Linked DNA regions of Rhinolophus ferrumequinum. The protein of the gene in region 1 binds, or shares a complex with, the protein of each later gene. Links are inferred from orthologs where the notes say so. Each region holds a gene or a part of one and is shown on either strand. Other genes may lie near its edges.

Region 1 (3,915 bases):
ATTAATTATATTCACATACTGTTGTGCAACCAATCTCTAGAGCCTCTTTGTCTTGCAAAATTGAAGCTCTGTCCTCACTTAATAACCACTCTCTACTCCCTCTGCCTCCAACCCCTGGCAACCAAGCTTCTACTTTCTTTCTCTATGGATTTGACTACTCTAGGTACCTTATATAAGTAGAGTCATACGGTTTTTGTCTTTTTGTGCCTGGCTTAATTCACTTAGCACGTCCTCAAGGTTCCTCCATGTTGTAGTTTCCTCCCTGTTTAAGGCTGAATAATAGTCCATTGTATGGATATACTAATTTTTTTATCCATTTATCCAATTTTGTTTATCCATTTATCTTTGGATGGACATCTGGGTTGCCTGCACCTTTTGCCTATTGTGAATAATGTTGCTATGAATATAGGTTCACAAATATCTGTTTATGACCCTGCTTTCAGTACTTTTGGGTACATACGAGAATTAGTGTATCATATGGTAATTTTATTTTTAATTTTTTTGAGGAACTGCCATATTGCCACTACGGTGGCTGCATCATAGTAGACACTTTAAAGTTTCTGTCATGCCTGCGGGGTAGGGGAAGGTCTATTATTTTTCTATAGACTACAGTAGTGAAAAAGGGTTGTATGGCCGAGAGTGAACATTGTCAATTATCATGCTTTATTAGAAAATGATTAAAATAATTAAAAGCCTGGAAATCCTAGAATTTGGAGACACATTATAAACCATTGGATCCATTCCCCTCCTTTCCAGGTGATTAAAGTGGGACTCTGAGAAGGCAATGGCTTGTGAAGGTCAAAACGCTGCTTAACAAGAGTCAGAACTGGCATCCACAGCTTTCCAATCTTCAATTTATTGCAAATAAAATAAATTTCAACTTGAAATACTATGTAATGAAGAACAAGAACTACGGAGTGGATAATTCAAAACATCCTCTGGGATGCACTGTCAGTGTTTTGCTTTTGTTTCTATGGCAGGTTCTAGCCCCCGAATTGCCTGGGTTGACATTGAAACAGCCTGTTTTTCTTGCTGCCACTGCTGGCTGGGTCCTGGGCATCCTAGGAGACGGAGGGGGAGACAAAGGAAACCAGCGGGCAGTCAGGATTCACCGAGCGCGGAACGCGACCCTCTGCTGGCCTGCGCGCTGGCCAGAGCCGCGGGTGGAGCGCGGTTTATCTCCCATCCTGGGGCCTCAAAGACCTGTCCCCGTGCTCCAGGATCCAAACGAGAACGTTCAGGGACTCGCGGGGTAAGGCCGGTCTTGCCGTGCCTCCTCCCCACCCGGAGCGGCAGAGCCCTTGCTACTGCCCGGGCGAAACGATGCCCAATCCCCGCCGCCACCGCCGGGGAGCCCCGGGAGCGCGGAACGCGGGCTGCGGACACGGCGGGCACGTGGGCTCGGCCGAAGAGCTGCGCCGGCTCTGCCCAACCTCTGCTCGCCTGCCTCGGCCCCTGCGGGTGGGGAGAGGGATCCTCCCCCCTTCCACTTTGCACCAGTCCGAGGGAATTTGCGGTCGGTGACGCGCATCCTTAAGCGAGCCACCTGCAGCGCGGGGCGCGCCGCTCTGGGCGGCATCGCAGGCTGGGCCGGCGCGGCCTGGGGACCCCGGGCTCCGGAGGCCATGCCGGCGTTGACGCGCCGCGGCGGCCGGCTGCCGCTGCTCGGTAAGACCCTGCCCGCCCGCTCGTGGCCCCCATAGCCCCCGGCGCGGCCTCAGCCGCCAGCCCGCACGGTGGCCTGGCGCGCGCCTCCAGGTCCCCACCGCTGCGTTCCTCCCCGCGCCCGCGCCCCTCCCCTATGTTGCGCCCTCCCGACTCGCCCTCAACTGGCTCGCGGCCCCCGTCCTGCCCACCCCATATCCTCCTGCCTCTTCTCTAAAGTCGCTGCCCGGCTCGGGTCGCGTCCGGATCTGCGGCCCGGACTCCGCGGGCGGCCTCGCCGAGGCGCTGCCCCGGGCCGGGGCCGCTCCGCCGCCTGCGCTCCCGCTCGGTTCGGGTGCTGGGCCATCCGCCAGCGTCTGGGACCCCCAGGCTGGCGCCGGTTGGCTCGGGACCTCGCCAGGACCGACCCTGGATATCGTAGGCTCCCGGGTGGCGTCTTTCAGCTCTTCTTTTGGGGTTTTTATGTGTGGAGTGAACTCTGATTGGAAAATTCGCCCGCGTTTTCCCGAAGAGACTCATTCGTAATAACGACCCCTACCCACGCCAAGTTTCGGTTGGGTCAACGAGTAGTGACTTTGGAAATGTTATGCAAAGAGGATTTGCATATTAAAATACTAGCTGCCCCTTCCTCCTCTACTGGATTTTTATCCTGGCATTAAACCCCAAGGGAGTTTTCAAGGACTCAGGTGACGGTTCCCAAATAATCTGCTGGGTAGCATAGTGATTACTACTAAATAAATAAATAAATAAATAAATAAACAAATAAATAAATAACCCTTTCTAAAAGATCCACTCCATCCGTTTGGAAAGATGAGATGGTTGACTCTGGAGTTTGGGATGAAGGAGACAGAGTTCTGGGAGACCGAGAGCCTCGGGTCCCTTATTCTCCTTCTACAGTCTTGGAAGCGGCACCCACAGCTCCCACATTCTAGGGTTCTAACTTAAGGTCTCTGTGGTAAAGAGAGAAAAGATTTCCGATATAGACGTGCAGGAAGTATGTCCAAAGCTGTTGTTACACATCATTCAGAATTACAGAGTAAGAAACGTAACATAAGGAGGAAAGAAGTGGGAAAACAGACAGTTTGCATTTCTGAAACAGATTTACTAGTTGGTAAATAGGTACATTTCAAATGCATAGTACAATATGTTTTTCAGTCTATGAATAAAAAGAGTTAACTTTCTGTTAGGTATGACACCGATAAGTGAGTTTTTCGGTGGCACACAAAGGCTTTGGAAAAGTAAAGATCAGTATTTGCAACTATATTTAAGCTGCATTGAATTCTTTATTTAGGAATGAGCCCCCAGATTTTGACATCTCTCTCCAGATTTTTGTAAATGAGGTATAATTTGCATATAGCAAATATGCACAAATCTTAACAGTGCAACTTCATTAGTTTTTACATACAGGTATGTATGTACCCACATAATCACTGTTGGACCAAGTTTTGAGCAAGTCTAGCTCCGCCCTGTTTCAGTCAGTACCCTGCAAACGTAGCCACTATTTCGACTTCTTATACCATTGGTTTGCCTGTTTTTGAACTTCATGTAAACCAGACCACCATGATATACTCTTTTATGTCCAGATTCTTTCACTCAATATTGTGATTAGGAGATTCAACCTTGTTCTCAGCAGCAGTGGTAATTTTTTTAATTGCTGGGTACTAGTCCTTAATATGAATATACTATACAACTTATCCATTCTCTTGTTGAACATGTAAGTTATTTTCAGTTTTGTGTAATATGAATAATAGTGCTGTGAACATTCTTTGGCACATTTTTTGGTGGACATGAACTCCCATTTCTCCTAGGATGATACCCACGAGTATTATAGGGGAAGGTGTATATTCAGTTTTGTTGGACTCTGTCCAACAGTTTTTCATAGTGGTCGTACCAGTTTACATTCCCACTGGCAGTATATGGGGGTTTCCAGTCCCTCGCATCACTGCCAACACCCAGTAGTACAGATTTTTTTTAATAAAGAAACACAAAATGAGGAGCTTAAAAGTGAGGGCTTTAAAACGTGTAAAAGCTTTGTCTAACCACAATGCTGTACACCCAAAAGTAATATAAAACATTATTGAATAGCAACCATAATGGAAAAATTTAAAAATGTCTAAAAGCTCTAAATTCCTGAAAGTATAATATTCGATCCCCATTTCCCTGATATTGTAAGCTCTACCTTTCATGAATAATGAATGCTGAGTCTTTCTAAGAAGTATGTACAGAAATGTACTGGCCATGGCCTTCACT
Region 2 (3,915 bases), on another chromosome or scaffold:
TTGGAGGTCAGAAGTCTGACATGGGTTTCACTGAGCGAAAATCAAGGTGTCAGCAGAGGCTGGGATTTGTCTCAAGGGCACTAGGGAGCCATAGAGGGTCTGTGATCAGAGGAGAGGTAGGCTCAACTCTGGTTGAAAGACAGACATAACCTAAGGTGATGTGTACTATAATAGAGGACGGTCAGGGTACTCTGGGGGCCCAGAGTAGGCACCATACCTAGCCTGACTGTGTGTGTGTGTGCGTGTGCGCACGTGTGTGTACGTGTGCACTCATGTTCATGTGGGATGAGGGTGAGAGAGGTGGTGGGAATCTTCCCAAGGACCATGCTATTTACACTGAGGGTTTTTGTTTTTCTAGTTTTGTTGAGGTATGATTGACAAAATTGTATATATTTCCATTGTACAATATGCTTTTTTAAGGTGTGCAACCTGATGCTTTAATATACATAGCATTGTGAAATGGTTACCATAATCAGGTTAATTATGCATATGACGTCACATAATTACCTTTGTGTGTGTGTGTGTGAGAACACTTAAGATCTCTCAGCAACTTGCAAGTGTGCAATACAGAATACGTATCATTAACTATAGTCACCGTGTTGTACATCACGTCCCCAGCACTTACTCATTTTCTAAATGGAAGTTTGTATTCTTTGACCGACATCTCCCCATTTCCCCCACACCTCCAACCCCTGGCAACCACCGTTCTACTCTTTGGTTCTGAGTCTGACTTTTCCACAGGGAAGTGAGATCAAACAGTGTTTGTCTTTCTCTGTCTGCTTTATTTCACTTAGCATAATGTCCTCCAGGTTCATCCATGTTGTTACAAATGGTAGTATTTCCTTTTCGTGGCTGAAGAATATATATGTATGTTATGTATATATTATAATGTCACATCTTTCTCCATGCCTCAGTGGACACTTAGGTTGTTTCCATGTCTTAACTGTTGTAAATAATGCTGCAGTGAACATGGAGTGCAGAAACCCCTAAGGATCCTGATTTCATTTCCTTTGGATAAATACCCAGATGTGGGATTGCTGGATCATGTGGTAGTTTTAATTTTTTGAGGAATCTCCATACTGTTTTCCACGGTGGCTGCATCATTTTACATTCCCACCAACAGTGCACAAGGGTTCCTTTTTTCCACACCCTCACCAACACTTGTTATTTCCTGTCTTTTTTATAATCTTTCTACAGATGTGAGGTGGTATCTCATTGTGGTTTTGATTTTCATTTCCCTGATGATTAGTGATTGCATTGAGTCTAGAAGTACAATGAGTATCTGATTAGGCTAGAAAAGTGGCAGAGAGCATCCCAGGCAGAGGGAACAGCACGTACAAAGGCCCACAGGTGGGAAACAGCTTTGGGGGAACTCTAGTGGGCTGAATAGTGGTCCCCCAAAAGATATGTTCGCATCCTCATCACTTGAACCTATGAATGTGACATTTGGAAAAACAGTCTTTTCAGATGTAATTCAGTTAAGGATCCTGAGAGAAGATCATCCTGGGTTATCCAAGTGGGACCTAAATCTAATGACAGGTGTCCTTACAAGAGACAGAAGGGGAGAAGACACAAGAGGACAAAGCCAAGAGGCAGAGGTGGAAATCAGTGTCTAGCCTGCTCCCCTTTCCTGGAGGTTGGAGGTGGGAGGTCCACAAGTTAGGATATCCTATGTCTTAAAGCCCAACCCCTTTAATCTTGCGTTGGTCTTTCTTGCCTGCCCAACCCCCATCCTGAGTCACCTCATTAGCATAAACTCAGGTGATTTCAGGGGGCCCCTCAGGAATAACAAAGACACTCCTATCACTTATCTGGGAAAGTCTGAGGACTTCAGAGGTGGTCTCCTAGGAACCAGAGACAAAGACCAGACATGTTCTCTTTTAAACTACAATAATGAAGAAGGAAAGAGGCCAGGATCCATTTATTCATTCAACAAAGATTGATTGAACACCTGCTCTGAGCCAAGCACAGTTCTAGGTGCTGGAGATCCAGCAGAATAAACAGACGCCCACCGTGGTTCTCCTGGAGCTGACGTCCCCGTGGGGAAAACTGACAATGAAGAAGGTAAGTAAAGTGCTTGGTATGTCAGAAGGTGATATATAAGTGACAAGGGAGAGACCAAAGCAGGAGTGCAATTTGAAAAAGGGTGGTGGGGAAGGCTCTGCCTGTGTGTGTGAGCAAAGGCCTGAATGGGATGGGGGGGGGGAGGTTTGAGCCCTGTGGGCATCTGGAGGGGAGGGCATTCAGGCTAAGGGAATGGCAGTGCAAAGGCCCTGGGGCCAGAGTGTGCCTACCCCAGGCACCGCCAGGAGGCCAGGGCAGAGAAGGAACCCGGCTAGATCTTTCAGGTCTGTTTGGGCCTCACTGAGAACTTGGTCTTTTAATCAGAATGTGGTGGGAGATGGGAGGATTTGGAGCAGAGGTGGGGTGTGAGCTGACTTAGATCTTCATAAGCTCCCTCTGGCGAGATATGAATAACAGAGGTGAGGAGGCCACTGTGATACTCAGGTGGGAGATAATGGTGGCTGACCCCGGGTGATGGCAGCGGAGGTGGAGAACTGATCGGATTCTGGATGCATTTGGACGGTCAGCCAACAGATTTGCGAATGGACTGGACTATGCGTGGGCAGTGAGAAACAGTCACAAGTCCACGCCAAGACTTTGGGGTTCAAGGAGAAGATGAGGGGCTCAAGGTGACCTCCTCCTTGCCATATGTGCATTGGTTCTAACTGGAGACAGATCCGGGTTCGAACCCCAAGTCCCCATTCACTGTGTGTCCTACCCCGGGAGTTTACCCAAACTCAGCCCCCCAGGACGAGGCACCCTTCTTCGCGGTGTGAGCCGCTACCTATCACCACCAGGTGGCGTCCCAGGACTCAACCAGATCCACCCCAACTCATTTATCTCCCCCCAAAATATTCTTTCACTTTCGATCTCTGGCTGTCACTCGGCCTGGCCCTTTCCACACCCAGCTGGGGCAAGCCTGGTGCGGGAGGAGACATGAACTACGGGTCCCCGAGGGGCGGGGCCGGGGTCCCCCTCCTGGGGCTGAGGGAGGAGGGGTGGGGGTCAGGTTCCTGGGTCCTTGCCTGGGGAGTGTTCCGGGGACCGGACGTCGGGGTTCTTAGAAGGAGAGATGCGGAGTTTTCACCGTAACTGGGGCGCATGCAGGAAGCCCGAGGGAGAAAGAGGCAGAAACTTGACCACATCAAGGGGCCAAGGGAGGGGTAGGGAGGTTAAGGGGCGGGAGAGGAAGGGACTGGGGTGTGGGGGTCCAAGACTTGCTCTTCTGTCCCTTGCAAGATCTGGCCACAGGCATGAGGGGCCCCCGGCCGAGATGACAGTGCTGCTGCCAGCCTGGAACCCAACAGTGCGTATACCTGGGGGACAAAGTAGGGGAAAGGCAGGGCAGTGTCAAGATGGGCAGAGCTGAGAGGGGAGGTGCAGAAAAGTGGGGAGATGGACAGGGGGAGGAGGGGCGGCTAGAGATGGAGGGAGATGGACAGAGATGGGGAGATGGACCGGAGTGGGGGAGATGGATAGAGGTAGAGGGAGACAGATGAGTGGAGAGAGATGGACAGAAGTGGGAGAGACAGACAGGTAGGGGAGGTGGATGGAGATGGAGGGACATGGACCGGGTGGGGGGAGATGAACTGAAGTGGAGGGAGATGGACAGAAGTGGGGGAGATGGACAGAGGTGGGAAGAGATGGACAGGGGTTGGGGGAAGAAACAGGGAGGTGGGTACAAATGGGGAAGATGGGACCCCAATGGAGAGATGAGCACAGAACGGCAGAGGGGTACACAGAGAAGATTACCGGCAGAGGTGAGCAGAGACTGAGATCAATGGGCCAAGTTGGGGAGGTGGGTACAGAGAGAGACATGGGGCAAAGGAGACTGGATGGCATTGAACAGAA

What was found.
Region 2: the proteins of FLT3 (region 1) and FLT3LG are in contact, whole or in part, in a crystal structure (PDB 7QDP), measured with the Homo sapiens proteins. The link is inferred for Rhinolophus ferrumequinum from reciprocal best matches to the Homo sapiens genes FLT3 and FLT3LG. Residues at the interface, in NP_004110.2 of Homo sapiens: Asp180, His279, Gly280, Phe281, Gly282, Met300, Ser301, Thr302, Tyr303, Asn306, Arg307, Met309, Arg311, Ser333; in NP_001191431.1 of Homo sapiens: His34, Ser35, Pro36, Ile37, Ser38, Ser39, Asp40, Lys44, Lys87, Glu99, Asn102, Thr103, Glu104, His106, Phe107.

The regions. Positions count from the first base shown.
Region 1 is NC_046287.1:100,000,072-100,003,986, reverse strand, and holds the start of FLT3 (receptor-type tyrosine-protein kinase FLT3), read left to right. Parts: upstream 1-1,423; 5' UTR 1,424-1,625; coding exon 1,626-1,668; intron 1,669-3,915. UniProt on the Homo sapiens protein: Tyrosine-protein kinase that acts as a cell-surface receptor for the cytokine FLT3LG and regulates differentiation, proliferation and survival of hematopoietic progenitor cells and of dendritic cells.
Region 2 is NC_046298.1:44,623,800-44,627,714, forward strand, and holds the start of FLT3LG (fms-related tyrosine kinase 3 ligand), read left to right. Parts: upstream 1-1,244; 5' UTR 1,245-2,064; intron 2,065-2,530; exon of another isoform or gene 2,531-2,679; coding exon of another isoform or gene 2,680-2,693; intron 2,694-2,872; exon of another isoform or gene 2,873-2,986; intron 2,987-3,303; coding exon of another isoform or gene 3,304-3,337; coding exon 3,338-3,370; intron 3,371-3,915. UniProt on the Homo sapiens protein: Stimulates the proliferation of early hematopoietic cells by activating FLT3. Synergizes well with a number of other colony stimulating factors and interleukins. Required for the development of B cells, and dendritic cells (DCs).